4 linked regions of the Diceros bicornis minor genome follow. Each later gene encodes a partner of the first gene's protein in a complex. Links are inferred from orthologs where the notes say so. Each region holds a gene or a part of one and is shown in the gene's direction. Other genes may lie near its edges.

Region 1 (7,803 bases):
GGTGTAATTATTGAGGCTGTCTGCCCTTGAAGGCTGGGACCATGGTTTAGAGACTTTTGCATCCTCTTTGCTTGCACAGTGCCTGGTACATATCCAATAAATGCCAATCGGATCAGCACACTCAGATGTAGGGAAATGTTGAATCACTAGAGTTCTTTGGGCACTTAAAGCATCACAAGGTGGAGGAGGTTGCACGGGTGGATGAGGGCAGCAAAGATTCAAGATGGAAAGAAGAAATGAGTTATTCTCCAAAGGCTGAGCATGCCAATGTTTAGAAGGCCCCAGATATTGGAAGGGAAATAAATTTTTTTTAATCACTAAAAATTCATTAACTACCAACTGTGCTTGGCACTGGGAAATCAAAGATACCTGACAAGTCCTCTTTTCCTAAGGACTTCATATTTATTAAGAATTGTTACTCAGAATGGCAGGTGCTATAATATAATAATGACATATATAATGATAAATGAAGTACAGTGGGGACAAAGTGAGGAGTTAATTAGGCCTTAACACTCCCCTGCTTAAACCTCCCCAGTAGGATGCCAGTAGGATTTTACTTTTGAAATAAAATCCAAACTCTTTACCATGATGTACCAGGCCCTCCCAGCCCATTCCCATCTCTACATCCTCATCTCTCACACACCATCCCTTATTCACTTCACAAACATCATTTCCGTCCTTAGACACAGCAAGTTCCTTCTCACCTCAAGGCCCTATCCTCTGATCTTTACTTGACTGCCTCTTTCTTTATCATTTAGACCCCAGCTCAAATATCACCTCCACTGGCCATTATCTACCTAACCCCCTCTCCTCGGTCACTTTCTTTGCCATTACCCTGTTTTTTTTCCTTCATGAGACACTTCACTCTCTGAACTTATCTGGTTTGTTTATTTACATAATTATTGTCTGTTCCCCTCTCCTTTCCCTCCACCGCCCCATGCACTAGAATGGGGGCTTCATGAGAACGCAGAAGCTTGTCTGGCTTGGTCACTGCTCTGTCCCCATGCCTAGAGCATTGCCTGGAGGCTGGCACATAATAGACAGTCATCAAGTATGAACTTGCTCCAGTGAAGATAAGAAAGATTCGCCAGAGAAAAGTTATCGGTGATAACTATGCTGAGGGCAGGGAAGGCAGTTAGGGCAGTGTTGGGGTGCTGGAACACAGGGTGCAGGTGAAGTGTGGAGAAGAGGCTGGAGGAGTGACGTGGCCCATGGTCTTTGTTTGCAGGGAGTAGGACTCAAGAACCCAGAGCCCAGAGCTAGAGAGCAGGGGTCAGATGCCAGTTCCAGCCTTCCCAGGTGTGTGGCCTGGGGCGATTGCTTAACCCCACCATGCCTCTATTTCTTCATATTTAAAAGAGCTGATAATTCTCTCTATGAAGAAAGAAAAGTACCCTCTTCATAGGCTAATATGAGGATTAAATGAGTCATTATGTAGAAAATGTCTAGTTGTGCCTGGTATATAGTTATCTAAGTATTCATATTATGCACTAGAGAGGAATCACTGAAGAATTTGAGAAATAGGGTAGTGGGATTCAGATTTGTATTTTAGAAAGATCATCAGGCTAGCAGTGGGGAGGATGGACTGGAGGAGGCTGAGAAATTAGTTAAGGAAACAATTGTGTAGGCGAGATGGACCACGATAAGGCAGTGAGGATGATGCAAGAATTATTAAGACAATGGACTCGGTCATCAGTTTGGGGAAGGAGGTGAGGGAAAGAGACCAGTCAGTCATGATTCCTGGATTTGAGGCTTGGGCGACTGGGTGGCTGGTGGTGCCATTCACCCATACAGGAAACACAGGAGGGGGGCCAGGTTTGGGACCCTGGGTGGGGAGGCAGGGGGAGGAGGTATGATTTGTTCAGCTGTGGCAGGTTGAGTTTGGGTGCTGTGGGAACCCCAGGTGGAGCTACCCAGCAAGAAAACCCCACATCTCCCTGGATCACAATATGAGCTAACATGCTTAGCACTGTACTTATTGGTACTTAATACATGTTAGCACTTAACATTTAGTGTTCATAATCTTTGCTTTTTAAGCAAATACCATGAGAAACATCTTCGACCACATCTGAGTTTTTCCTTCTAGATTTCTATTAGTAATTAGTGGTAGGGACAAAGGTATGTTATCTTTTGAAGATTTTAATTCATCTTGCCAAATTGCTTTTTAAAAAGGTTGTATCAATATATATTCCCACAGTAACCTGGGATTCTTGAAAAACAGCCTCCATATTTTTTTATAAATACCACCCCCAAAGTTGCCAGGGTACGGGAACAGTCCTCTCGTGCTACCAGTGGAGCTGACCACCGACGTCAGCTCCATCCTTAGAAGCTGCTAGTTGCCTCTGTCCTAGGGAAATGCTCAAATCAATGGCTGTTATTAATTGGCATGTTGCCAATACCACAACCCCACCTATATTCTTTAAACCATGACAGTGAGTAAAATATGAACACTCCATGCCTAAACACTCCCCTGAGGATTGGGAATCAGGGTATAAAGAGAAAGGACTTAGTGAAGAGAAAACTCCACTCTACCAAGCTACATGATTTTAACAGTATTTCCCCCTAAAAAACAGGTTTCTTATAACTTTCTTTGCCATGATTTAGTGTATGTACAAGCATGGAAATCACATTTCCTTTGAATCAATCAGTGCTGTATGAGAGGGCGCCATTTGCGGGTCAAATACAATTTTAACCAAGAATAAACTTTCTTTTTAATATATGTATCAATAGCTTTTCATCAATAAAATCTATTTTCACTGAAGACAGTGTTTTGGTTAGTTCTGCAGGTGTTTATCATGAATTGTTGGCCATTTGGTACTTCAGATGGTTGTTAATTATATTTCTAACACTGTTCACACACAGCTGACACACTGCAGGGTAACAGTACCTGGAAAAGTGTTTAGTATGCTTAGTATCCCTCTCTCTGAACACTTGTTTTGTGTTCATCAGACTTGGATTTGTACATTAATGTGGTTTTTAATCTGTTGTCTTTTCCAGAGAGTCCTTATAAAGGAAACGTGGGTAGACAGTTCTTGTCCATGTGTTGTATTGAACTGAATATTTGTTTTGTATTTTCCACCATCCACTGGAGGCCACTTAACCAGGGGACCCTCAGCACCAATACTTGCCTCTTCTCTTCAGAGCATTAACCATCCATCAAAGTCTGAATGGAGACTCATACTTGCTTTTGGAAAACTTTCTTATACCTCGTCCACAGCCACTTTTCTCAGGGGTTAATAAGAGGCCACAGTTTTTCAAAGGAGACTAGGTCTAATTTGTATAAAGTGGGACTCTTGTCAAGTAGGGAAGCAATAAGGATGGATCATCTCTAGAAAGCCATAATTGTTTTCTTCCAGTGTATGTCAGTCAGGGGTGGATCCATCAAAGAATGGGGGAAAGATGATACTTCTGCTTGAGGGTGACCTTGCTAGCTCCAAAATGGCCTCCTTTTCTACTGGGATTGGCATAGAGCTTGAAGGGAATTGCTATGGTTGTGGTAGGGAGTTGAGTAGAATATAATGCATCCCAATATTAGAGAGTCATTCAGATGTCCCTGGTCCTCCTGGAGCTTTCTGCTATTACATTAAAGAGTTCACTTCCCATCCATTTTGTCCGTCTGTAACATGGGCTCCCAAAAGAACACTCAGAGAAAAGTTTACACACATCGTTGACCCCATTTACCACAGGTGTCTTGAAATCACAGGGATTCTACCTGTTTTTGTTGTTCTTTACATCCTGTGTATCTATTCCATACACTAGACACAGATTATGCTATAAAGCTATTTTGTGATCAGAAGACTTGAGAGAGGTTAAAACCAAGTCTGTCTCTCTAGCTACAAATTCCTCTGGAAATAGGTAAAGAGACCTACTCATATTTTTAAGAAATTAGCCATATTATTCCAGTTCCAGCTATAATGGTAATTCATAGAATCACAGAATTTTAGATCCTGGGTGTACTGCAGAAATTGAGCTAGTCAGTGTTTCTTGAAGTGTATTTGTCAGAGAACTCTGGCCTCTAGGAAACAAGTGTTTCCTCGAAACAAGTTTGGGAAACCCTGCATCCTGTATCTCCCTCCCTTTGAATACTCACAATGAAAAGTCAACTCTAAGTCAGCATTGCCCAGACTTATTTGACCAGGGAGTCTTTTTTCCCTGTGTAAGAGCTGTTAACATCCTGCTGTAGGAAATGACTCCAGTCTCATAGTGGAGATCCAGAAAATTAAGCCACTTGTCTAAGGTAACAGAGCCAGTAATGACAGGAGGTGAACCCGTTCATGGTTGATAGCCTCCCTCAGACTGGCTGCATATTTGTAGTGACAGCAGTGGCTTCAAAACATTTGAAGATTATTTTTTTACTTGAAATTTATTTAAAGACTCGTTTCTAAAGTATCTAGGATCCTAGTTTAATTTAGAGAGATTTATCCCTTAGCAGATGGATAATGTGTCAGTTGGCCTATTCACTTTAGTAGTACTCTTTATTCATATGCATCAGAAACGACCTGAATAGTAAGCATAGGGAGAACAAAACGCTCCTGAGGGCCCCATTCTGAGGGGTGGGGAAGGGAGAAGGCCAGTAAGCAATTGAACAAGCAGATATGTACATGCTACGAAGAAAATGAACTACGTGCTGTCAGACTGAGCTTAAATTTGCAATCATTTTTTAATTGGCCCAGATTCAGAAGGGATCAATAGCAGCTGTTTTTATGGTTATCTTGGTACTCAGCTCATGACTACAGCCTGAACCACATAACAGCTCCTCCCCTTCTTGCTTTTCCAGCCTGGTGGAGCAAAATGAGAGCGCACTGAGCCGGCCTAGCCTCTCTCCCAGCCGTCCCCGACGCCCACCATGAACCACTTGGAGGGGGCCGCGGAGGTGGAGGTGACCGACGAGGCGGCAGGCGGGGAGGTGAACGAGTCGGTAGAGGCCGACCTGGAGCACCCCGAGGTGGAGGAGGAGCAGCGGCAGCAGCACTATGCGGGCCGCCCCCCGCGTGGGCGCGCCGTCGAGGACCTCTGCGCCCAGCCCGGGCAGCCGGAGGAGGAGGAGCGCGGGGAGTGCCTGGCGCGCTCGGCCAGCACGGAGAGCGGCTTCCACAACCACACGGACACGGCCGAGGGCGACGTGATCGCCGCGGCCCGCGACGGCTACGACGCGGAGCGCGCGCAGGACCCGGAGGATGAGAGCGCCTACGCCGTGCAGTACCGGCCCGAGGCCGAGGAGTACACCGAGCAGGCGGAGGCTGAGCACGCCGAGGCCACGCACCGCCGCGCGCTGCCCAACCACCTGCACTTCCACTCGCTGGAGCACGAGGAGGCCATGAACGCCGCCTACTCGGGGTACGTCTACACGCACCGGCTCTTCCACCGCGGCGAGGACGAGCCCTACGCCGAGCCCTACGCCGACTACGGGGGCCTCCAGGAGCACGTGTACGAGGAGATCGGGGACGCGCCCGAGCTGGACGCGCGCGACGGGCTGCGGCTGTACGAGCAGGAGCGCGACGAGGCTGCCGCTTACCGCCAGGAGGCCCTGGGCGCGCGGCTGCACCACTACGACGAGCGCTCCGACGGCGAGTCCGACAGCCCCGAGAAGGAAGCCGAGTTCGCGCCCTACCCGCGCATGGACAGCTATGAGCAGGAGGAGGACATCGACCAGATCGTGGCCGAGGTCAGGCAGAGCATGAGCTCGCAGAGCCTCGATAAGGCGGCCGAGGACATGCCCGAGGCCGAGCAGGACCTGGAGCGCGCCCCTACCCCCGGCGGGGGCCGCCCCGACGGCCCCGGGCTGCAGGCGCTGGCAGGGCAGCAGCGGGCTGCGGGCACCGTGGGCGGCGAGGCGGTGCAGCGGTACAGCAAGGAGAAGAGGGATGCCATCTCGCTGGCCATTAAGGACATCAAGGAGGCCATCGAGGAGGTGAAAACCAAGACCATCCGTTCGCCTTACACCCCCGACGAGCCCAAAGAGCCCATCTGGGTCATGCGCCAGGACATTAGCCCCACCAGGGATTGTGATGACCAGAGGCCGGGGGATGGAGATGTAAGTATGCGCGGGTTCAGGCTTGCTCGCCTCCACGCGCGGCCAGGAGGGGAGACGGGTGCTGTGTGGCCTTGTTTGTCACTGGGAAATGACTTCATGAGATAAATGGTCTGTGGGAACTCTAAAAACGTGTCCAGCGTAAGCCTCACAAACGGCTTGCACTTAAGCGCCTGTGAGTGAAACACAGGTGGGAGGGAGTTGAAGTGTTGAATGCGCTTATCAGACCCTTAGAGGGATTGCTGTAAATCAGTGGTTCTCAAACTGTTCCTGGAGCGCCTGTTCAGAAATTAATTTCTAGGCGCACTAACCCCCGCCCCTAGTTTCTCATTTAGAAGGTCTGGGGCCTGACAATTTGTATTTCTATTGTCAAATACAAAACAAGTCCGGATTAAGTAAGGAGAGACTTTATTGGAAAGGAATATTGCAACAGGGCAACCTCTGACTGTAAGATCTGCAAGGGTCTCTAGGGTTAGGCAAAAAGGGGGTTTGTTTTCTAGGGAGGAGTAAACAAGGCTAGAACGAACAAGAGCTGAGGCAGTGGGATGAAAGATTGGCTTGAATGTGTTGCCCAGGAGAGAATGTTTTAAGCCGAGACCAGCCTACTCTCAGGAGGGGCTGTTGAGGACAGGTGGTAGGCTGGCCAAAGTTCAGGGACCTGGAGGAAGGAGACAAGCTTAACCAAAGGTTGGTTACCAAGCATTTTGTTCTGATTAATCAGCAGTTCAGCCAATCATTTGTGAGGCAAAGAATGGGAATTTGGAGGGTCTGTGTCTGGCCTTGTCATAGGTAAACAAGGGGACTCCGGGGGAGTCTTACCTGCATCATATGGGCAAGGGGTTTCTTTGCAGTAAACTGTTTCCTGAACACAAAAGGTAGGGGTGTTTCCTTAACCTTGACTGTTTTCCAGGCTCACAGGGCTCAGGTGAAGTTCAGCATTGCCACTAACAAGTTCCCTGGTGATGCTGCTGCTCCTGGTCCAGGACCACAATCTGAGAACCCCAACCTTAAAGCAGTCCCTTAAAGGTTTGCGGCTGGCAGTGTAGCCTTTTTGGAGGAAATCCTTCTGAGCCCGTTCCTGCCAGGGGTTCCAGTTTTTTTACCCACCCTGTGCTTCATTGTCGGTTTCAGTAAGTGCTTAATTTTCACTTCTGGTGGTACCAGGGCGTCCTTCTCACTTCACAAGACGTGTTTGGGGTTTTAAACTGAATTGTGCTTCCTTATGAAGAGCTACAGAAAGCTGTTGCCGCCCCTGTCGAAATTTTATTTTCCATTTTTGAAATACCCAAGAAATTTGATAACATGGCAAGCGTGGGTGTCACAATCTGTTCAAAATAAATCAAGAAGACTAACCTTTGCCCCCACTACCTGGCTCTAAAGATTCTCTTTCTGCTCTGACTCTCACTTCTCCATTCTCTTGGATAATTTTTAAGCACTTTCATTTAAAATGGGAGCTTGGAGTAAAAGAAGGGTCAAGAGGTTAAATTCAATTTCATTTAATTCTGTATTTTATGATTGCACCAGGCTGTTTCTCAGTATGTCTTTTGGAGTGAGAAACCATTATTGGAAGCTGTTTGTTCATTTTACTTATACGTAAAGGGCTATGCAGGTCAGAGAAGTGTCATTCACCTCCTCCTTTAGTAACAGTCAACATTTGCTGTTAGCTGATTAAGTCACTGGCACCTTTAAGGAAAAGTTGGACACCAGTCGGGAAAGGCTCTGCATCCTCCCCAGCAAGGGGGCAGCACTGGGTCAGCGACGCCCTGTAATCT
Region 2 (7,152 bases), on another chromosome or scaffold:
TGTTTGTACATTTCATTGTATGATGGGCACAAGGTAATTCATGAAAAGGCTCATGACTTTTCTGTTAATTATATTATCTTTCACAACCTGACTCTCAATGGCCCTCTTTGGGCTTGTTTTTCTTATACTCCAAATTCAAATTGCCTGTTTGACCCAAACACACACCATATCCGCTCTCCCATCCCTGGCTTTGCTCTCCTGCTCCTCCGAATGCCGTCTCCCTATCTCTGTCTTTTGTAATCCTGACATTATTCTAGACCCAATTCAGTTGTTGTATTATTCATTGTTTGCACAGTACTTAGTCACTAACTGATCTCTTTCTTGTGTATTACTTTGTTTATTGTCTCTCTCCCCTGCAGAATATAAGCTAGGTGAGAATAGGGCTTTTTCTTGCTCCTTGCAACATCCCAATGCCTAGAACAGTGCCTGGCATATGTTAAGTACATTATTTGTTGAATGAACAGACAAATAAGTAGTTATTAAAACAAATCTAAGGATAAAATAAATTTAGTACCATTCTCTATTTATGATGATTTAAAAAAAAAACCCACAAACATTTATATTCTGAAGTATAGGTTGGCACTTCATCTTAATCCAGTGCTATTTTGACAAAGCTGTGAGAATTAAGGAAGATAATGTGATACCTTGAATCAGTCAAAAATAATTTCTAACACCCCAGGCTGAAAGAATTCCAGTTTGAAGGTGCTATTTTCCTCATATGAAACTGTGCTTATTATACTCCATTTATAATCTAACTAAACACATTTTCTCGGTATGCTAATGCTTTGTGCAAACCTTCTCTTAATTTTGTCATATAATTCAAAAAGATTCAATTAAGTGAAACAGACCTTAACGTAGCTTTGAATGAATTTTTTAACAAGAACATATTTTATATTTCAAGGTAGGTGTCATTTTAACGTTAACCTATATTTATGTAGAACAGAACCAGTATCATAGTTCTTTTCTCCTTCGACCTAAATTTCCTCCATACATTCCTCTCTTTGAGTATATATCTCAAGCCTAACAAAAAAAAAGAAAAAGGATCTATGTACATGGGTATATATATACACACATACCTAGAACTCTGAAATAAAAGGCTGAAATCACTAATCTTCAATAATACAAAATGAAGTGTGTTTCCTAATGAGAAGCAGAGGAGCTCTTGAACACAGGTGTGACTATTCTTAAGCAAGTCACTTAACCTCTCAGTTTCAGTTAACTTACCTATAAAATGGGATAGCAGTACCTACTTTTCTGGGCTGAAAAGAGGAGGAAAGAGAAACCAAGCTAGCACCAAGCACCACCTGGCATATACAAAGTGCTCAACAAGTATTTATTCAATTAATAAATTCCATTGAAAATGGAACTAAATTACTGAACTAAATTACTATATGACATTTAATAAAAAATTGTAGTGCTTGTGTAACCAAATAACCAAAAGTATAATCACAGGTGTTTTAACAATTCCCTGATTAATACACAACCAACAAAGCGACACACATATGAATAGATTGAGTATATGGACCTTGATGAAACACTGTGGTTGTCCAGGCAATTATTCAAGAGACCTAAGTATGGTCACATCTACCGATGCAAAAGAAGGGATTAAGGAAATGTTCTTATGTCTCTGCATGTCTCAAATAAGAATTCACAAATGTTATTGGACAGTAGTTAGCTGTTCATAAAAAACAAATTCTAACAGATAATGAATTATCTAGTATTCATTTTCTACACCTGTGTGGACATAAGCTAAAGGCATTGAACTTGCCCCTACTAGAAACAACAACTGATGAGTATATGGTGATTTGTGCTCCCTCTTACTTTCTCTTTCAGTCCTCACAAAAACTCTACAGAGTCAACACAGAGAGAGAATGATAGAGCAAATTTTCACTTAGGGAGCTCAAAGCATAAGCCCAGAAACATGCTGTTAAATGTCTGGTGCTGGGGATACATCAGAAAAGAAAAAGACAAAAAGCCTACCTCTGTGGACCTCACGATCTGGGATTTGTATTGAAATAGGTACAATTTTGGCTTTTAGACTTACGAATCAAGCCGCTCAAATGCATATTCATAAAAATGTGTGTTGTTAAAAGAACTCCATTAGTGGCCAGGGGATTTGTATGTTCTTTTCATCCTCAATTACTGAATGAGGTTTGATATTCTGTGCAAAACCTTGGAACATACTCTGCTGTTATTGTGCACATTCAACTTCTTTCTGTTGTTTGATTTAGGGGATGTGAATAATGCTAATCAACCAGAATTGTTGCTTCTTCCTCTTGCCCACAGCACTTCCTTTCTATGGCACTTAGAGCACTTATTGCATGGAATTCTCACAGCTTCTCATTTTTTATCTCCCAACCTCAACTGAGCACTGTCCAGGGAGAGGGCCACATCTCACTAATCTTTGCAGGGCCAGCTCCTAGCACAGTGCCCGCCCCACAGTTCAGGTGGGACGTATATTTGTTGTATGAAGAAATTTGTATAAACTTTACCATCTTCAAAGCACATTCATGTGCCTGACCTCATCAGATCCTCAGTGGCATTGCAGTGAGATTGAAGAATTAGTCCCCTTATTTTACAGAATCTCAGTGAGATTGAAGGTTATTAATCCCCTTATTTGACAGATGAGAGAACCAGGGATCAGTGAGAGATTACTCGATTACTGAAGAGCACATAAGTAAGACTTGCATTTCAAGATCAGGGTTTTTCTGAAACACTAAATGAAAACATAGGCATATTAAACTAGTATTTTAGGTATATCTTTCTGGTGTGTTAGGTGGATGGCCAAACATCTTTGACTTCCTCAACCATTGGTGAAACCTTGCTTTTTTTTTTCCAAATGTAGACCACAGGATGGAAAAGATCTTCAGAAACCGCCCATATTATAATCAGAAGAAAATGACATTTGAAGAGGGTCAAAAGGTACAAACTTGCCGAAACAAAAGATGACATAGATTACATGTAAATATTTTGCTGCAAAACGGTGTCTGCCTTTAAGAGTTTATTGCTAGCCCAAACAGCTCGTCTCTGTCACAGGGAAGGGGATGGAGGCAGGCAGCTTTGTCATTTCCGATCCTGAACCCACAGTCGTCACCATTCTACTTATACAAAATTTCTCTGTGCTTTTAAATTTATTAATCAGGAAATAAGAGTCCCTACACTGGCAAGATAGTGAAAGCAGTCTGTTGGGGTGAAGGGGTCACAGCCAGTATTTGAAGTTTCTAGTAACGGAATCCTTATCAACTGACTCTAAAGCTACCCTTTTAATAACATCATCTCCCCCTAGATTACAGGCTACAGGAAGGCAGGGACTGCACTGAATCCCCAAGTCAGGCCATGACACATGGCACGTAACACACGTGTTAATCAATCATTAAGTGGCAACTCTGAGTAACCACTGGTTATAGATCAACCTGAAAAACTGCTAGGTACATGTTTATCAAACTTCGTAGTAGAAACTTCTCTTCCTGTTTTTTTATTTAAAACCAGTTTTCAGAAGTTTGCTTTTAATGTTAATTATTTTCTAGGCAATATACTCAGCTCCTTAATGGACACCTAGTGATGGAACCCTGGCCTTGAGTCAGTTATCTTGTAAACTGTTATAAGTCAACATTCCAAAAACCTTTAACAGAAATTAACAGCAACTATACTTAAATCCCAACATTTCTGACCCTAGAAGCATTTTCTCTCTAAAAGGGATGGGATTACTGGGTTGACAATTTCTCTTAATCTGAAAAAATTTATCTCCATCTGCCTTCCCCATGTCCCCCTTTGGATCTTTTCCCTTCCCCCAGACACACGTATACTCTGACCATTTTATTTGAGTGGAAAGTTGAAAGAAAGCAACACGCCAGCTACACCCACCCAGCGCTCCTTGGGGTGGAATAGCCAAGTTCTGGGGCAGAGCCCTCGACCCCAGAGCTCGCGATGCAGTCGCTCTCCGATACCTGCTCAGCTTCACGCCGCATCTGAACGGCCGCCCGCCGCGGAACAGTTGCGTCTCCATCTGGCTGCCAACTCACCCAAGCTTTCTTCTCCTCCGCCACCACCACCTTCCCTCCTTCCCCCTCCTCCCCGTCCGTTCCATCTTCCCTCTCCACCCCGCCCCCAATCTCCTCCTCTTTTTCTCACTACAAGCGGTTGCTGATGCTGAAGCCGAGCGTCACTTCGGCTCCCACGGCAGACATGGCGACATTGACAGTGGTCCAGCCGCTCACTCTGGACAGAGGTAAGGGAACGGCTCGCCCGCCAGGCCACTGCGTCCCCCGTGCCTCTCCCTCTGCCCCTGCCAACTCCCACCGGGACAGCCGGACGCGCTCGGGCACGGGGAGCAGGGCAGCGGGGACGACCGAAGGAGGCTCTCGCGCCGACAGCAGGATACTTTCTTCCCCTTTCTCTGCCCGCCACGTCCCCGCTGCCCCTTCACGGTGCACTCGCCGGCCCAGGGGTGCCTTCGCCGGGCTCTGGCGCCCCCACCGCCACTCCCAGCCCCTCGCCGGGTCGCCTCGGGCCGCCGGCTTTGTTGGAGCGGATGCGCGGGCACCGCTAGGCGCCCGGGGCTCGGGGTTGGAGAGGGGCAGGGAGGAAGCTCGCCGTGCCGGGCGAGGGCGCCTGCAGCCGGAGACCGGGGAAGCCTGGCGAGGGAGCCGCCTGCCAGCCAGCGCGGCCGCGGGGCCCAGGAGGAAGGAAGTTTGTCCCGGCGCCGGGGGCGATGGTCGGTCCCGCAGCGGGTGCCCAGGCAGCCGCCCGGGGGCGGGCAAGGTGCACCCCAGGGTGGGCTGTGCCGGGACGCACGGCTGCTCGGCTGCCGCGGCGGGGAGCTGCCCTCGGCCGAAAGGGCAACGCGCAGCGCTGGCAGCCGTGCCCGGGCCCGGGGCGCGCGTCGCGGCAGCCGAGCCCGGCTCTCTCCGGCTGCGCGCCCCGAAGGCTGCGGGGGTCGCGCCTGCCCCCGCCGCCGGCAGCTCTCTGGCAAAGGCAACTCAGTTTCTCCTGCCCCTGCCCGCCTCGTTCTCTCCCAGCCCGGTGCCACCGCGGTGCCCGGGCTGCGGAAGGCGCTGGGACGCAGCGCAGCCTGGGTGGAAATGCAACTTCTGACCCGCGACCCTGTGCGTCCTGCTCTCCTGCTTGAACGCGGAAGCAGCGTTTGCTTCCTCCCCAGGACCTCCGCAAGCCTAAGGGGGGAATCCTCCAGTGTGATCCGGCCCTCTCTGGTGCAGCCGTGCGGGGTTATACCTGTCCCTGTGTGTCCGGGTTTCCCTTCTGGCTGGCGACGTCCAGTTCTGAAGGCGCTGGAGTCCCACGACTCTGCCGCGGAGGACACCTGCTCCTCCCGGTCCGCAGGGGCCGGATTTAGGACCCTGAGTGGCCGTTTGGAAATGGTGTGCTCAGACGAAAATGATTTAGTCCGATGTGTCTCTAAAAATATTCTTTCTAGCAGATCAAACTGGCCTGTGGGGCAAGGCAAAAAAGCATCCTGCTGCGAGAACAGTGGAAAAGCCAGTGAACTCTGTGAGGTTTTTAATTTGGAGAGGTTGTGGGTGACTTGAATGCAATCTGTTGGCTCCAGAACACATGTTATGTGGTACCCGTACAACCTTACTTGGCGTAAGAGTTGAAAAATAAAAAATAATTGATTTTATGTTGGGAAATGTTGATTTGCAAGCTAGTAAATTAATAACAGTAGTTAAAGAGCTCGGAAATGCATTGTATAATCCATGATTTCACCCCAATATCATCATCTGCACTAAAGCAGGATAAATCCATTGCCACTAAGAGCCAAACAGATGGCAAGCTATTAGAAATTATGGATTTCCCACGTATTTCTGTTTTAGTGTAATGAGCTCTTATATTGTCCCATTACTAAATCAGTCTTTAAACCTCTCAAGTAAAACGACTACATTAGGAGGGGAAAAAACAAACTCAAAGAAAATTGCATACTACTACTACTAAAAATATTTCACTTTTGGGGTTTTACCTCAGCGCTTAGATGCCTGGCTCAGTTGTGGGTAGGAAGTGCAATCAGACCAAAATCTATTCTTAAAGTTTGTTCCTGTTCACAACCAGTCTGCACCTGTCCTTCCCAGTGTGATTAGGTCCATGCAGAAAGTAGCTCAGGAGGCAATCTGAGTGAGACTATGGATGGATTTGAATCAATCCACCAGCAGCTCACTGCCAAGTCCATAATTTACAGATGATGGATTATTGGCATCATTGCTGTGCATGAAGTCAATATATATAAATATTTTTTTCTCTACCTTATAAAAATGATTAATTAATTGATTAATTGCATCATTAAACCAATGAAAGAAGGGGTTCTGGAAAATTTCCTACAGAGAAAGAAAGCCTTTCAAAAGAGGCAGCCTAATGATACTTACCTGGGTCCTAGTGGTAACTCAGATACTCACTTCGGATGGGTTGGTTAGCCTCTTTGGGCATCGGTTTTCCTCTGTGCCACATAAGGAATTTAGATTAGACGATTCTGACACTGTGCAGCTTTACCAGTCTATAATTAAATTAATTAAAATTAGGACTCAGTTTCTGGCTACCTACTGGAAGATTTTCCAGCTCACCCCCTCTCCCAGACTGTTTTGGTGCCCTTTGATATGTTCTGAGGCTACCCGCTGCTTTGGCTCCATCAAAGCATTTCTCACACTCTGTTGCATCTGTCTCCTCATTGAATGGAGCTCAAGAGACCATTTCTAAATTCATCTTTGTATTCTCAGTGGCTGCCATAGTCCCTGACTCACAGTAGAAGATCAAAAATTAATGTAAGTCAGTATAAGTGAACCAAGGACTGCAGTCACTTAAGCACTGTTAAAATATAGGATGTAGCGAACTGAGGTATGGCTCATAGATGCACATTTTGGCCCTGGGAAGGACGGCAGGGAGAACATAGGCCAGTGGTTCTTCAGCTTTCTTTTCCCCTCTACACTTGATGGATTCCCATCAGTAACCATAGCTCACCAAGGCTGTGATTATTAACCAAGGGGGATTGTGGCAGGTGGGCAAAGGAAAGGAGAGAAAGGAAAGAAAATGCCTGACAAAGTCTCCCCAGGGCATCTCAGCGAACCTGGATACATAATCCACAATTTGAGAGCTGCTGGTTCTTTTCTCACATCTTCATTTTTCAAATGAGAAACATGAAAGAAGCAA
Region 3 (6,986 bases), on another chromosome or scaffold:
TTTGCTTCCTCACATTTCTTTCCATTTCCTTGCCTCTCTAGACAGCCTCCCACCCCCAACTTTCCCACCCCCTTTTTCTCTTAATTGATACTGTCTTAACACATTGTATTTGCAACAAGTTGAGAAAGCTTTCGGGGCCGGCCCCAAGGCCTAGTGGTTAACTTAGGCACGGTCCCCTTCAGTGGCCCGGGTTCACAGGTTCAGATCCCAGGCGTGGACCTACACCACTCATCGGCTATGCTTGTGGTAGCAACCCACATACAAAATAGAGGAACACTGGGCTGGCCCCGTGGCTTAGCGGTTAAGTGCGTGCGCTCCCGCTGCTGGTGGCTCGGGTTCGGATCCTGGGCGCGCACCGATACACTGCTTCTCCAGCCATGCTGAGGCTGCGTCCCACATACAGCAACTAGAAGGATGTGCAGCTATGACATACAACTACCTACTGGGGCTTTGGGGGGAAAATAAATAAATAAACAAAATCTTTAAAAAAAAAAATAGAGGAACACTGCCACAGATCTTAGCTCAGGGCTAATCTTCCTCAGCAAAAAACAAAAGAACAAAGGGGCCAGCCCCATGGCATAGTGGTTAAAGTTCCATGAGCTCCCCTTTGACGGCCCAGTTCACAGGTTCAGAACCCAGGCACAGACCTACACTACTTGTCAGCCATGCTGTGGTGGCAACCCACATACAAAATAGAGGAAGAATGGCACAGATGTTAGCTCAGGGCTAATCTTCCTTGGCAAAAAAAGAGGAGGGTTGGCAACAGATGTTAGCTCAGGGCCAGTCTTCCTCAGCAAAAAAAAAAAAAGAAAGAAAGAAAGAAAGCAAGCTTTCATGCCCTGGCTGCCTAGTTAGGACTTTAATTTTTCCTATAAAGACTAAATTTGCTTAATTTAGCTTTCACTGGGATTTGTCTAGACTCAGACTTCCTATTCTCACTTGAGTGTTCCTCTTTCCCTCCGAGGCAGGAAGTTAAATGAGGAAGCAACAGGTGAAGAGGAGCTCTTCCAGAGGAAGAGTAGTTCTTGATTGGGAAGCCTGGTGGCTTAACAACCCGGCAGGGGCATAAAAGCTAAAGCAGCTCTGTCACGTTGTGCTCACAGCGGCCTCCTCTGAGACCCAGGACAGCGATCACTCTGTGAAGTGAAGGAGTGGGACTCTCTAGGTCTCTCCCAATTCTAACGCTCAAGGATTTACGAATCAGGGAGGGACATTTTAGGGAATCTCTCCTTATACAGTAGCTGATTCTTTTATTTTGTACGTTGAGTACAAATGGGTTGTTGTTAATTAAATCATATTTTCTTCACTCAGAAGTAGCTCCTAAAACTTTTTTCTTCCTTACCTATGCTTCAAATAATTAATGGTCTATAACTGTTCTGATTCCCAGTCCTTAGAATGTAGCTTTTTATTCTTTTCAATTTCTCTGAAAATTTTAGGATCTTCTACTTATTCACGGAATTCTGAAATTTCATGATGATTCTATGTGTTAAGAAATTACCAAGGATAGGGCCGGCCCTGTGGCTTAGCGGTTAAGTGCGCATGCTCTGCTGCTGGCGGCCTGGTCTGGATCCCGGGCGCGCACAGAGGTACCGCTTCTCCGGCTACGCTGAGGCCACGTCCCACATACAGCAACTAGAAGGATGTGCAACTATGACATACAACTACCTACTGGGGCTTTAGGGGAAAAAATAAATAAATAAATAAAATTATTAAAAAAAAAAAAAGAAATTACCAAGGATAGGGAAAGGATCATTCAAAAGGAGCAAAGTAAACAATCAACAATCTCCGTTCATGAGAATAGTTCCTGTTCCTGCCAGGCAGAGTAGAACCATACATATAAATTACCAGTCAAGTAAGAAGCAGGAAATTATGAGCCATAATGAAGAGAAAAATCAATGAATAGAAACAGTACCAGAAATAGCACAGATGCTAGAATTAGTAGATAAGACCATTAAAATTGCCATTATAATTGTATTCTATATGTTCAAGAAGCTAGAGGAAAGACTGAGTATGTTAAGTAAGAACATGAAAGATGCAGAAAAACACACACACTCCTGAATCAAACTGCTAGAGATAAAAACTACAATGTCTAAAATGAAAAGTGAACCAAATGGGATTAAGGGAATATTAGATATTGAAGAAAGGAAGCAGAGAAAAGCTTGAAAAAACAAAATGAACTGAGCATCAGTGAGCCGTGAGATAATGCCAGGCAGCAGAATACACCTGTAAGTGGAGTCATCAAAGGAGAGGAGCCCGAGGATGGGGGAGAAAAAATATTGGAAGAAATAAGGGCGAAGTCTGCATTTGTCTCTCTCCACATGGTACCCTCAGTGCCTAGGAAGGCACCTGGCAGACATGAGACATTTAACAAACACTTCTTGAACACCTTTGTGGCGGAACAAATGACAACAATGAATAAGACATGAGCACATGAGTGCTACTGCAGGTATAAGGGCCATCATGTACCAAAGAAGGGGAGGAGGATGGAGAAGGGAAGCTTAGTGGAAGTGGAGTGTCTTCAGCAGGGACCGGGAGGATGGGTTCAGTCTGAGGATGTATACAGTTTGGAGAAGTGGAGGAGATGAAGGGCATTCCACATAAGAGCAACATAAATGAAGACTTAAAATCAAGAATAAACATGGTTTTGGATATGCCACCTCAACCTGAGTGGTGGTTGCATTCGAGGGATAACGAGAAACGAGGTTAGATAGATGTTAGGGTCAAGTACGCAAAGCTTCAGAAAGAGGAAACAGGGTGAGAAACCACTGAAAGTTTGCGAACAGAATCCTTTGATGATGAAATCAGGGCTCAAGGGGGAAAGCGGGTATAGTGGTGACATTCATGATGGATTAGAAGAAAGCATTATAGTTGGGTGGAAAGGGTGGGCCAGGGGCAACCTGGAGGTTGTTTAAACAATCCTATCATGAAGTCTTGAACACTTGTATATGAAAACACCTAAGATATTATCAACACAGACCAGGGCTTGAATAAATGTTAGTGGAATCTAAACACCGGGCAAATGAATATTCCATTTAAACTGAGGACAAAATTTTTCTTGGTTCATGAAGTTTTCAAAAGTGGCCCTAAGACTCTGTAACGCATTAAGAATATCACGGCTTCATGACATTTCACTTACATAAGATTTTGGATCAGCTTTTTTAAACTGTTACTTCGTGGTGCACCAAAGAGCCTTGTTCTCTGGCTCACTCACCCAGGCGCGCTTCACGCTTCCCGTACTTTCCAATCTCACTCGCAAATAGATTTAGAGGGAAGGCTCCTGTCCTGATTTTTAAAATTAAAGCAACGCTGCCACAAAAGGAGAATTTACAATATCTCAATGACACGCCTGATTGTCACAGAATCCCACAGTTGAAGGATGGAAAAGACCTCGGAGATGGGGCCTTCATGGCACAGATGGGGAAACTGAGGCCGAAAGAGCGTAAGCGCGCAGTCCGGGCTCACAGAGCCGGTAGAGGTCAAGCTGGGACAAGACTCCAGACTCTTCCCCGTGGAGCCAAGGGCTCCAAGCGGGTGGGACGACGTTAAATCCCGAGGCAGGGAGCAAAGGTCGTGAAGGCGGCCCTGTTCAACCTCAGGAGGCCGAGGAACTCAGAACCTTGGAACCCCGGGAGGGACAGCACGGAGCCCACCTGGCGAGCCGGCCACGCCTCCACCTTGCGAGGTCCCCCAAGCCCCCAGGCCCCGCTCCCTTTCTCGCGATACCGCCCGGCCCCGCCCCCCGGCTCCCGTAGGCCCCGCCCCTCCGCCGCGCCCCTCTGTCGTCATTTCCTGTGGGTCTGCGGGCACAGCAAGAAGATGGCGGCGCTGGGGGAGCCAGTGCGGCTGGAGCGGGGTGAGTGCGGCCGGGGCCGGGGCCGGGGCGGACGGAGGGGGTGGAGGCGGGCCGTGTCGCCGGGGGGAGAGGGGCGGCCAAGGCTCCGAGCCCGAGCCAGGCTGCCCCTCGCGCTGTTCCCGGGGACCGCCGACGTCGCGGCGCCCGGCCCCAGGGAGGGCGCTTGCGGTCTCCCGAGTGATGCCCAGACCGCAGTTGGCACGGACCGTCCCGGGGCGCAGCGCGGGTCATCACCTGTCCGCCTCCGCAAGCGCCGCACATGGGCCCCGGGCTGAGAGCCGCGTCGCCCGGAGGCACCCCTCCCACGCCCGGCCGGCCGGACTGCACGGCTGCCCACCTTCATGCACGCGCCCGGCGGCCGCGCCTGCACCCACGCGTCCTGGACGCACAGCGCGTCCCCACAGCACCGCTCCTGTGCACGCACAAACCCGTCATTGCCTTGACCACACCTCACTCCTGTTTGTTTTGGGGTATTTCCTGGCCTTGGTGCCCCTCCCAGGTACGGAGAAGGTGCTTTAAAACAGTCCTGCTGATTTGCTCTTGGGAAGAAGGTTACATAACTAGCCGGAATAGTGGTAGATTGTAAAATGTTTGCAAGTGCAGTCTTATTTCTTCTCTACAAACCCTACAACTGCTCACTGTGGCTGGTTGCTTGCTTTTTAGAGGAAACTGTCAAGGAAAATAAAACTTGTTTTGCTGAGTAATTAGAGACCCAAAAGCCAGTGAGAATACATGGCCATGCCCCTACCAGGGTTCTCTTACAGATTTTCCACATTCCACTCTTTCCTCCGCAGATCCTTTATTTCATGCAATTTCAAGCATCCTTTTGGCATACCAGTATTAGAAGTCGTTGGTAAGAGTCAAGAAGTACAAACTAAATATCTTGAGTACAGTAGTAAACAAAGTATAGGATGGAGATTGAAAATATCTTGGAAATACTAACATTTGCAGTTATGCTCTGAATATTAAGTAACTTCTGCTCCGAGAAGGGAATGCATTTTTAGAATTGTTGTATTTAGAGAAACCTCTTTCCTCATGCCTTCACACAAGCCAATGTGCAGTTAACATTGTTGATTCCTTATGGTGTTCACCGTTTATAAACGACATCGTTACCCCCCAGCCCGCCAGATCATTAATTAAAGCATCATTTTTGACAGAGAAGTAGCAACTTTGGGAAGATTTACTAAGTTAGGCCTGAGACGGTGACATCTTCCTCCTGAGCACAATGGCACTGTGCTTTGTCGATGGGAACAAATCTGTTTGGTGTTAACAGGAGTAGGTGTTTTTCTTTGAAAGCCAGTTTTAGGATTTTAGCATGTTGGCAGTCTTTTGTATTTTTAAGTGCAGAACAAAATGTGAAACTTAACTTCTGGCATTTAGTTTTGGTAGTCATGGCTTTGTTTTTGCTGTTTCAGAGTTCTCTTCAGTTCCACAGTAGAATGCTCAGCATCTTAGTAGGATGAATTATTAGCGGTTGCCATCTAGCAGGATAAGAAAGTCAGATTACATCAACTCTGTTTCTTATTTAGAATTCTGTTTAAACTTTATTAACACTGCCAATAATCCTACAGTATAAAATGAGTGCATATGATTAAGATCCTGAATGTCTTCTAAATTATCATATGATTCAGTGGAACACATTTGAGCACAAATTAGGTACAGCTTGGGTTCAGTAGAGAGTATTTTACTTTTTTCAATTTTTTTGGTAATTGGAAATTTTCATGTAGCTTACATATTGTAACTTTGTAAGTCAAAATAGCTGATGAACCAACAGTCCCCATCCACCAGCCATTCTAGTGGTAGAGTATCAGAATGGGGGAAAGTGTGTTTGCATTGCATTTGATTCACATCAGTTTAAGCTTTTATTACCTGAAATTGAAAAATCTACTTCTTTCTTCACTACGTTTATTCCTAGTTTTTCAGCTGCAAACACAAAGAAGGCCATATTAATTCTATAAAGAAAAAGTTCCAGTCCTTTGGTATAATAGAACTTCTTCCACTTAAAAGGAGGCAAGGAATGGTAGAATAATAGATATTCTAGCCCCTTGGGGTACAAAAATAGGTAAGAAAAACATCAAAATAGAGACAGTCATTAACAGTGTTGTAGCATGACCCTGAATCTTATAAAATGTCTTAATTCGTTAAACACTTATGCTCACACTTCCCAATGCGAATTGCCTAACGTGCTTAATATATCTGTATAAATGTGTACAACCGCTTACTATTTCTTATGATTAATTGGTGCCAATGTAACATAACATTTCTGCTTGCTACATGCCAGACCCTTTTCCGTGTATTTTTTGGTTTAGTTGTCAGGTAATTCTTCTAAGGAGGGTACTGTTATTTCCATTTTACAGTGGAGAATCTGAGACATAGGGAGGTTCAGTAACTTGCCCAAGATCACACCGCTAGTATTGAGATCAGATGACAAAACTAATTATTTTTATTTTTCTATTTTGTAAACACGTATGTATTTGATTGAGCTTGGCTTAATTAAAACATTGTGTTAATTATCCTAAGTTGAAAACAGACCAGTTGATTTTATTCATTTGTACGATTGTTTTATTTTATTTATTTATTTATTTCTGTGAGGCGATCAGCCCTGTGCTAACATCTGCCAATCCTCCTGTTTTTTTGCTGAGGAAGACCAACCGTGGGCTAACATCTGTGCCCATCTTCCTCCACTTTATGTGGGACGCCACCACAGCATGGCCCACCAAGCCGTGCATCGGTGCGCTCCCGGGATCCGAACTGGCGAACCCCAGGCTGCCGCAGCGGAGCACATGCACTTAAACTGCTTGCGCCACCGGGCTGGCCCCTGTACCATTGTTTTAAATGTGTCCCTGCCACTAACTGCACCTGTTATTGAACAGTTCGGGTCTGCATGAATATCGTGTTTTCCTTTGGGACATGAACAGTGACTTCACTGGCACACAGTGTTTTGTACTGTTCAGTGTTTTGATTACTAATAATGACAGGTAAATTTTTATTGACTAAATAGTTCCAGATAATACTTTCAGCTTTTCTGAAGCAATACAATGTTCATGTGTCTATCACATTTGAGCCCCAGTCCTTTCCTGTGACATTTCATATTTTATATTCAATTTTCCTGTGTCTCCCAAAGATGCTGTTT
Region 4 (7,130 bases), on another chromosome or scaffold:
CATACCAAACCAAAGACCACAGGCATTTGAGAAAATCCAGCAACAAGAGACCACAAGATAAATAGAAAAACTGGTCCTGGAAGAAACAATTGAGGGAATAAAAGAGAACTTAATACCCCTAATTAGTATGCTCATAGATACCCCAGATACTGCAATTAGACTTGTGGAACTGGCTACAAAGAACAGCCCATTTTGAACTAACCTAGCACAGACCAGTTACATAAAGATTGGACACAATATATATGAACAACTTGTGAAAGGCATTGGGGAGCAACTGTTGTAGGCCAGACTTGAGGGGGAGAGCACACAGAGGTGAACTTCATATTGACCCTCGCTGTTTCCTTGAGGACAGCTGCCAATTTAGCCTGGGGGAATACACGCAAAGGGGCAGTCCTCCACTGGGCTAGCTTCACAGAGCTTGCACCAGAAAGCTGGCTAAAGTTCCCAGATGGGGCATTGAGCCCCCAAATCTACATGCAATCTCCTGTCAAGGCATTTGCCAACTCCTAAGCTGCTGGTTGTCCTTGCACGACCCCCAAGGGACTCAGAAAGCAGTAACGAGGCTAAGGAGCTGAGCAGAGATATCGGCAGCCATGCGCTTCTGGAGGCGACAGGTTTGGGTCCAAGGCCTGCCAAGGTGGAGTGGCCATGCTTGAGGTCTCCAGAGAGACACATCATTTGAAGTAAGGCCACAAGTGAAATAGACCAGGCCTAAGAAAACCTGAAATCAGACCTCATGATTTAGGTGATCTGCCTGCCAGAAGAAAACTTAACCTAACTCTTTGGAGGAAGATACCATTCAGATCCGCTATGATTTTTAGCACACAACGCTCACTGACTACTCAGAAATTATCAGGTATTATCAGGTATGCTAGAAAGAGGACTTGAATTACAAAAAATAGACAATACAAACAGACCCAGACATGATTCCGATGTTGGAGTTATCAAGACTGAAATAACTACGTGTTCACAAAATAAGGAAAAGATGGAGAATTGTAACAGAGATCTGGAATCTTTTTTTAAAAAAAGCCAAATGGGGGTCCTGCCTGGTGGCATAGTGGTTAAGTTCACACGCACCACTTTGGCATCCCTGGGGTTTGCAGGTGCAGATCCTGGGGCGTGGACCTACACACCACTCATCAAGCCATGCTGTGTTGGCGTCCCACATGCAAAATAGAGGAAGATGGGCACAGACGTTAGCTCAGGGCCAACCTTCCTTGGCAAAAAAAGAGGAAGACTGGCAACAAATGTTAGCTCAGGGCCAATCTTCCTCACCACAAAAAAGCCAAATGGAAATTTTAGAACTGGGATACAATAACTCAAATTAAGAATTTAGTGCATTTGGTGGTTGACTAGATACTACATAACCTGAAACATTCCTGTTATAAACACTAGAAGTGCTAGGGAAAATAATTAGACAAACTTTCTTGAAAGTAAGAGAAATCTTACAATCTTTTTAGGAGGTTAACTGAGGATATACTTCACCAAAATGAGGGATTTTTTTTTTTTTTTGAGGAAGATCAGCCCTGAGCTAACATCCATGCTAATCCTCCTGTTTTTGCTGAGGAAGACTGGCTCTGAGCTAACATCTATTGCCAATCCTCCTTTTTTTCCCCAAACCCCCAGTAGATAGTTGTGTGTCATAGTTGCCCATCCTTCTAGTTGCTGTATGTGGGATGCCGCCTCAGCATGGCCGGAGAAGCGGTGTGTCGGTGGGCACCCGGGATCTGAACCCAGGCGGCCAGCAGCAGAGCGTGCACACTTAACCGCTAAGCCACGGGGCCGGCCCCAAAATGAGGGATTTAAAAGAGGAAACCACAAAGTCTGGCCTGGTGTCATAGTGGTTAAGTTCGTGCACTCCACTTTGGTGGCCCCAGAGTTAGCCAGTTCGAATCCTGGGTGTGGACCTACACACTGCTCATCGAGTCATGCTGTGGCAGTGTCCCACATACAAAATAGAGCAAGAAGGGCACAGATGTTAGCTCAGGGCGAATCTTCCTCACCAAAAAAGAAAAAAAAAAAAAAACAAGATCCAGTTTAGCAGAGCAGTGGAGGGTAGTCCTAAAATGGCAGGTTCTAGAGAGTCCAGATTGGGGTCAGAGGACTGAAGTTTCCAAAGAGTTTCAGGATAAAAAATTCAGTAAATTATCTGTTGTGATGGAGAGTTTGAAAGAAATTGAGAATGTAATGAAGCAAAAATAGAACTCACAGAAAAAACCAGAAGCTGTTCAAGAAAGGAAATGTCATCACAGAACACTCCCTGGGCTCTGCAGTAAACAGTGAGTACTTAGACATAACGTGAGCACTTTATAGACTGACCTAAAAGCTAGTACCATAAAACTACCACGGGGGAGAGGGAAAAGGTGGTAAGAGCAGAAAATCAATATGTAATATATTACTAACGTTGAAAATTGAGAAATAGCATGTTCCTTAAAGAAGCAACTAGCAGATTAAACATCTCTAAGTCATTGCCTCTTGCAGTGGGCAGAGTTAGGACAGGGACAGGGGCTGGTGCTTTTCAATATTAGCCCTTCTGTATCATTTGATTTTGTTCTTAACTCTGTAAATACGTTATTTTTTGTTAAAATTAGAAGAGAAAAGTACTATGAAGGAGAGGGATAGACAGACCTGCTTTCAGTCCTCGCACTTTCCTGGGCTCCATATCCCCATCCGGCTAATGGGGCAGCAGCCAGACTTCTCCACGCTCCTGTCTACATTTCTTACATTTCTTTAGAGGCCTCTCTTGAGAATCTGATACCACTGCCCACTTCCTTTTTCAAAACACTCCCTTCTCATGGTTTCTCCTACCTGCTTATCTTTCTACCTTTCTGGCCATGCTTTCGCTTCCTCCTGACTTTTAGATTTTATTTATTTTATTTCCCCCCAAAGCCCCAGTACGTAGTTGTATGTCATAGTTGCACATCCTTCTAGTTGCTGTATGTGGGACGCGGCCTCAGCATGGCCAGAGAAGTGGTGCCTCAGTGCACGCCCAGGATCCGAACCCGGGCTGCCACCAGCGAAGTGCATGCACTTAACCGCTAAGCCGTGGGGCCGGCCCCCTCCTGACTTTTAAAGGTTAGGAGTGTGGAGGACTCAGTCCTAGATCCTCTTCATTCTATATTCTGCCCCCAGCATTCTTGTCCACTCTTATGGTTTTATTTACCACCTTTGCCCAGATTCCCCAAACTGCTTGGACACTGCACAGGCTCCTCAAATTCAAAACAGCCAATATCCCTCCTCCAGCATAGACCATCTTAGCAAAAGGCCCCGCAAGCAACTTAATACCCACTTCTCCACTTCCCAGTCCTCATAACCAAGACATGTCCAGACACCCCCAAATCTGTCCACTTCTCCTCCATGCCTCTGCCCTGGTCCAAGCCTTCACCGGGTTGCTGGATAGCCTCCTCACTGGTCCCCGCTTCCACTCTTGCTCCCAATCCCCCGTGGCCACAGTGATTTTAAGCACACATTTGAATAGGACATTTTACTCTTAGGAGTTACCATGAAGTCCAAAATCCTCAACACGCGCATGCCAACACACAAGGCCATGCATAAACTGTATCCTGCCAACCGTTTAATCATAAACCACCCCAATCGTCACTCTGCTGACCAGCCATGTGGGCTCTTTCTGCCTGGAAAGTGACTCACGCCCCACCTCAAGGACTCTGTCAGTGTCCCTCCTAGATCGTCACCTCCCCTCTCCCAATTCTGATCACAGTCGTAGTTGGTTGTCCACCTCCCTCCTCCCATAGACTAGGTTCCAGGAGGGCAGTGGGCTTATCTGCTCTGCTCACCATCGCGTCCATCACCTTGGGCCCAGATGTTTAACATACGTTTGTCCAATGAATGTGGAAAAAAGGATAGAAAGGGGATAGACAGGTGAGGCGTGCAGGGCAGACAGACAGAGGCTGCAACAGGAGGGGTGGCAAACCGGGCCGACTGACGCGGGCTGAGGCAGGGCGGCTAGACCGGCCGCAGCAGGTGGAGCGGCGCGCACGCCGGGCCGCGCCTCCGCAGCGGGCGCCCGTCGCCCGGGGCGTGGCCTCGCGCGGGCCCGCCCTCCTCGCCGGCGACCCGGCGGGCGCCGGGCGGGCGGCTGGCGGCAGCGGCGGCGGCGACATGGCTGCGCTGGTGGAGCCGCTGGGGCTGGAGCGGGGTAAGCTCGCCAGGGGGCCCTGCCCACTCGCCCGCAGCCTTCGTCCCGGACCCCGCTCCCCTCCCCTCCCCCGGCAAGGCCCGGGCAGGTGGGCGGGCGGACCAGGCGGGGGTGGGCGGGGCGGGCGCCGGGAGTCGGGAGATCTAGGGTTGTGGGAGGGTCCGTGGGCGAGCGGGCCAGGGAGGGGGCGTCCGCTGCACACCCCTGCCTGTGTGTGTATGGGGATCCTGGGGACGCAGGGCGCCCAGCTGGTCGTAGTCTTTCCCTTGCCACCGGCGACCCTGCGGGTGTCCGACTGGGACTCGGCTGTCCTTCCCGGGGTCTGTCTGCGCTCGCCCCTACTTGGTCTCCGACCGCATCTCTCCGTGCCTCTGCGTCTTCGCGTCTCTGACTCTGTCGCGCCCCGCCCCCGCCCCCGCCCCGCAGACGTGTCCCGGGCGGTGGAGCTGCTTGAGCGGCTCCAGCGCAGCGGGGAGCTGCCTCCGCAGAAGCTGCAGGCCCTCCAGCGCGTCCTGCAGAGCCGCTTCTGCTCTGCCATCCGGGAGGTGAGAGCTGCGCGGCACCGGGGCACGAGCGGGCGGCCGCCGTCCTCCTCCTGGTCGCCCCAAGCTCGGGGACTACGCCTCCCAGCAGCGCCTGGGGCGGTCCGCCCTGGGGTGCCCGCGCTTCGGCACCGGGGCTCTCTGGGAGTTGTAGTTTCCTCGGGCTCCGTGCTGCGGGGGCGTGGTGGATCCTTGGGTGGGAGGGTCTGGGGGCCTGGACTCCTCTCTCTAAGGGGGCGGGGGGGCGGGGGGCTGTGTGGCTGGCGGCTCCCTGATGCTGCTGCGCCCTCACCAGGTATATGAGCAGCTCTATGACACGCTGGACATTACCGGCAGCGCTGAGATCCGGGCCCACGCCACAGCAAAGGTAGACGCCTCCCACTTTCCATCGCTCATGGTATCCACTGGACTGCATGGTCTATCTAGCTCAGGATCTTCTTAATGTCAGTTATTCCTGTTTCCTTCCTCTTTCACGATTTTTGCCAAATCTGTGTACCACCCTTACTATTACTTATTTATAATTTATTTTAAATAATCTCATATTTTTAACTTAAACAAATGTTATGTAAAGGCATCTTTAGCAACTACAAACAGAAATTAGTACTGCATGCCTGATTAGAAGATAACCTTAAACATCTATACAATGAAATAGCGTTAAACACTGAAATCTTTTTATTTCATTTTATTTATTTATTTATTTATTTATTTATTTATTTATTTATTGTGAGGAAGATCAGCCCTGATCTAATAACATCCATGTCAATCCTTCTCTTTTGCTGAGGAAGACCGGCCCTGAGCTCACATCTATTGCCAATCCTCCTCCTTTTTTGTTTTTCCTCTTTTTCTCCCCAAAGCCCCAGTAGGTAGTTGTATGTCGTAGTTGCACATCCTGCTAGTTGCTGTATGTGGGATGCGGCCTCAGCGTGTCCAGACAAGTGGTGCGTCGGTGGGCGCCTGGGATCTGAACCCTGGGCCGCCAGTAGTGGAGCACGCACACCCAACAAACAATGAAATCTTATTGAACTAAAGTTAGATGCTATTTCTTGCTGCTTCCTGGAGGCTCTTAGCTCCTTCCAGGCCTTGTTTTTCTGTGTTAAAAAGCGAGACTGGCAAGTGTCGAGTATTCAAGACTCCCAACAAATGGCGACTTTCTCTTTGACACGTCTGAAGCATGCACAGTGAACTAAAAGGGGCAGACGGTCATTACAGAGTGAGCATGTGGGGAGCTGGGGCAGGGGCCCCGTGCTTGGGGAAAGTGATCTGGCCTCAGTTGTTCTCTCTGGCCCAGATCCTCCACCCCAGTCTGCTCGCCTGCCATGGAGGGGCCCTCACCTCCGATGCTTTCTCTCTCCCAGGCCACGGTGGCCGCCTTCACAGCCAGTGAGGGCCATGCACATCCCAGGGTGGTGGAGCTGCCCAAGACAGATGAGGGCCTGGGCTTCAACATTATGGGGGGCAAGGAGCAGAACTCGCCCATCTACATCTCCCGTGTCATCCCTGGAGGCGTGGCTGACCGCCACGGAGGCCTCAAGCGTGGGGACCAGCTGCTGTCGGTGAATGGTGTGGTGAGTCGGGGGGCTGAGGTCCAGCTGGGGTCACAGTCTGTCCAAGGTCGCATAGTCCCTGTTTTTGACATTCCTTCAGCACACACTGAACACTGCCTCTATGTCCAGCCTTGTGCTGGACACTGCTGCAGACCCTGAGAGAAGTTGGCCTCAGCTCCTACATTTCAAGGACTCCCTCTCTGATGAGAGAGACAAACTTTGACTGAAATAGTCCTAATCCAGGGAGATAATAATGAGGAAGCAGAAAGCATTGTGAGAGCCCAGATGTGGCACCAGACCAGTGTAGATAAGGGAAGTTTTTGTAGAGGAAGGAACATTTTTTGTGTGTGTGTGTGAGGAAGATCAGCCCTGAGCTAACATCCATGCCAATCCTCCTCTTTTTTTTTTTTTGCTGAAGAAGACTGGTCCTGGGCTAACATCGTGCCCATCTTCCTCCACTTTATATGGGACGCCACCACGGCATGGCCTGACAAGCAGTGCATTGGTGCGTGCCCGGGATCCAAACCGAGCCTCCAGCAGCAGAGCACGTGCACTTAACCGCTATGCCACGGGGCCGGCCCCAAGGAAGGAACATTTGAGTTGGGTTTTGAAGAATGAGTAGGAGTTCTCCAAGAAAATAAAGTGGAGAAGGGTTTTTCTAGCTGAGGGTTTTGTAGGTAGAGGCTGTGACTCTGCATTCCTCTGAGCTGAAGAGAAAGGGCTTGATTCTGATGGAGGTCTGAGGCATGCAGGTAATTAAAATCACTGTGGTTAGAGTAGATGGAGGCATAACTGGGTGGGTGGTTGGGGCCAGCCATGCAGGGCCTAAGTGCCAGCCTGAGAAGCTGGGACTTTGTCTCAAGCGTTCTGGGGAGCCATGGGAAGGCT

What was found.
Region 2: APBA1 (region 1) and LIN7A share a complex: the UniProt entries of both Homo sapiens proteins name them as parts of the brain-specific heterotrimeric complex. The link is inferred for Diceros bicornis minor from reciprocal best matches to the Homo sapiens genes APBA1 and LIN7A.
Region 3: APBA1 (region 1) and LIN7C share a complex: the UniProt entries of both Homo sapiens proteins name them as parts of the brain-specific heterotrimeric complex. The link is inferred for Diceros bicornis minor from reciprocal best matches to the Homo sapiens genes APBA1 and LIN7C.
Region 4: APBA1 (region 1) and LIN7B share a complex: the UniProt entries of both Homo sapiens proteins name them as parts of the brain-specific heterotrimeric complex. The link is inferred for Diceros bicornis minor from reciprocal best matches to the Homo sapiens genes APBA1 and LIN7B.

The regions. Positions count from the first base shown.
Region 1 is NC_080761.1:23,668,199-23,676,001, forward strand, and holds the start of APBA1 (amyloid-beta A4 precursor protein-binding family A member 1), read left to right. Parts: upstream 1-4,784; 5' UTR 4,785-4,846; coding exon 4,847-6,034; intron 6,035-7,803. UniProt on the Homo sapiens protein: Putative function in synaptic vesicle exocytosis by binding to Munc18-1, an essential component of the synaptic vesicle exocytotic machinery. May modulate processing of the amyloid-beta precursor protein (APP) and hence formation of APP-beta.
Region 2 is NC_080764.1:39,186,637-39,193,788, forward strand, and holds the start of LIN7A (protein lin-7 homolog A), read left to right. Parts: upstream 1-4,146; coding exon 4,147-4,228; intron 4,229-7,152. UniProt on the Homo sapiens protein: Plays a role in establishing and maintaining the asymmetric distribution of channels and receptors at the plasma membrane of polarized cells.
Region 3 is NC_080746.1:83,526,417-83,533,402, reverse strand, and holds the start of LIN7C (protein lin-7 homolog C), read left to right. Parts: upstream 1-3,957; 5' UTR 3,958-4,033; coding exon 4,034-4,352; intron 4,353-6,632; exon of another isoform or gene 6,633-6,824; coding exon of another isoform or gene 6,825-6,831; intron 6,832-6,986. UniProt on the Homo sapiens protein: Plays a role in establishing and maintaining the asymmetric distribution of channels and receptors at the plasma membrane of polarized cells.
Region 4 is NC_080773.1:24,606,850-24,613,979, forward strand, and holds the start of LIN7B (protein lin-7 homolog B), read left to right. Parts: upstream 1-4,100; 5' UTR 4,101-4,119; coding exon 4,120-4,156; intron 4,157-4,582; coding exon 4,583-4,701; intron 4,702-4,993; coding exon 4,994-5,065; intron 5,066-6,053; coding exon 6,054-6,263; intron 6,264-6,919; coding exon of another isoform or gene 6,920-6,985; exon of another isoform or gene 6,986-7,130. UniProt on the Homo sapiens protein: Plays a role in establishing and maintaining the asymmetric distribution of channels and receptors at the plasma membrane of polarized cells.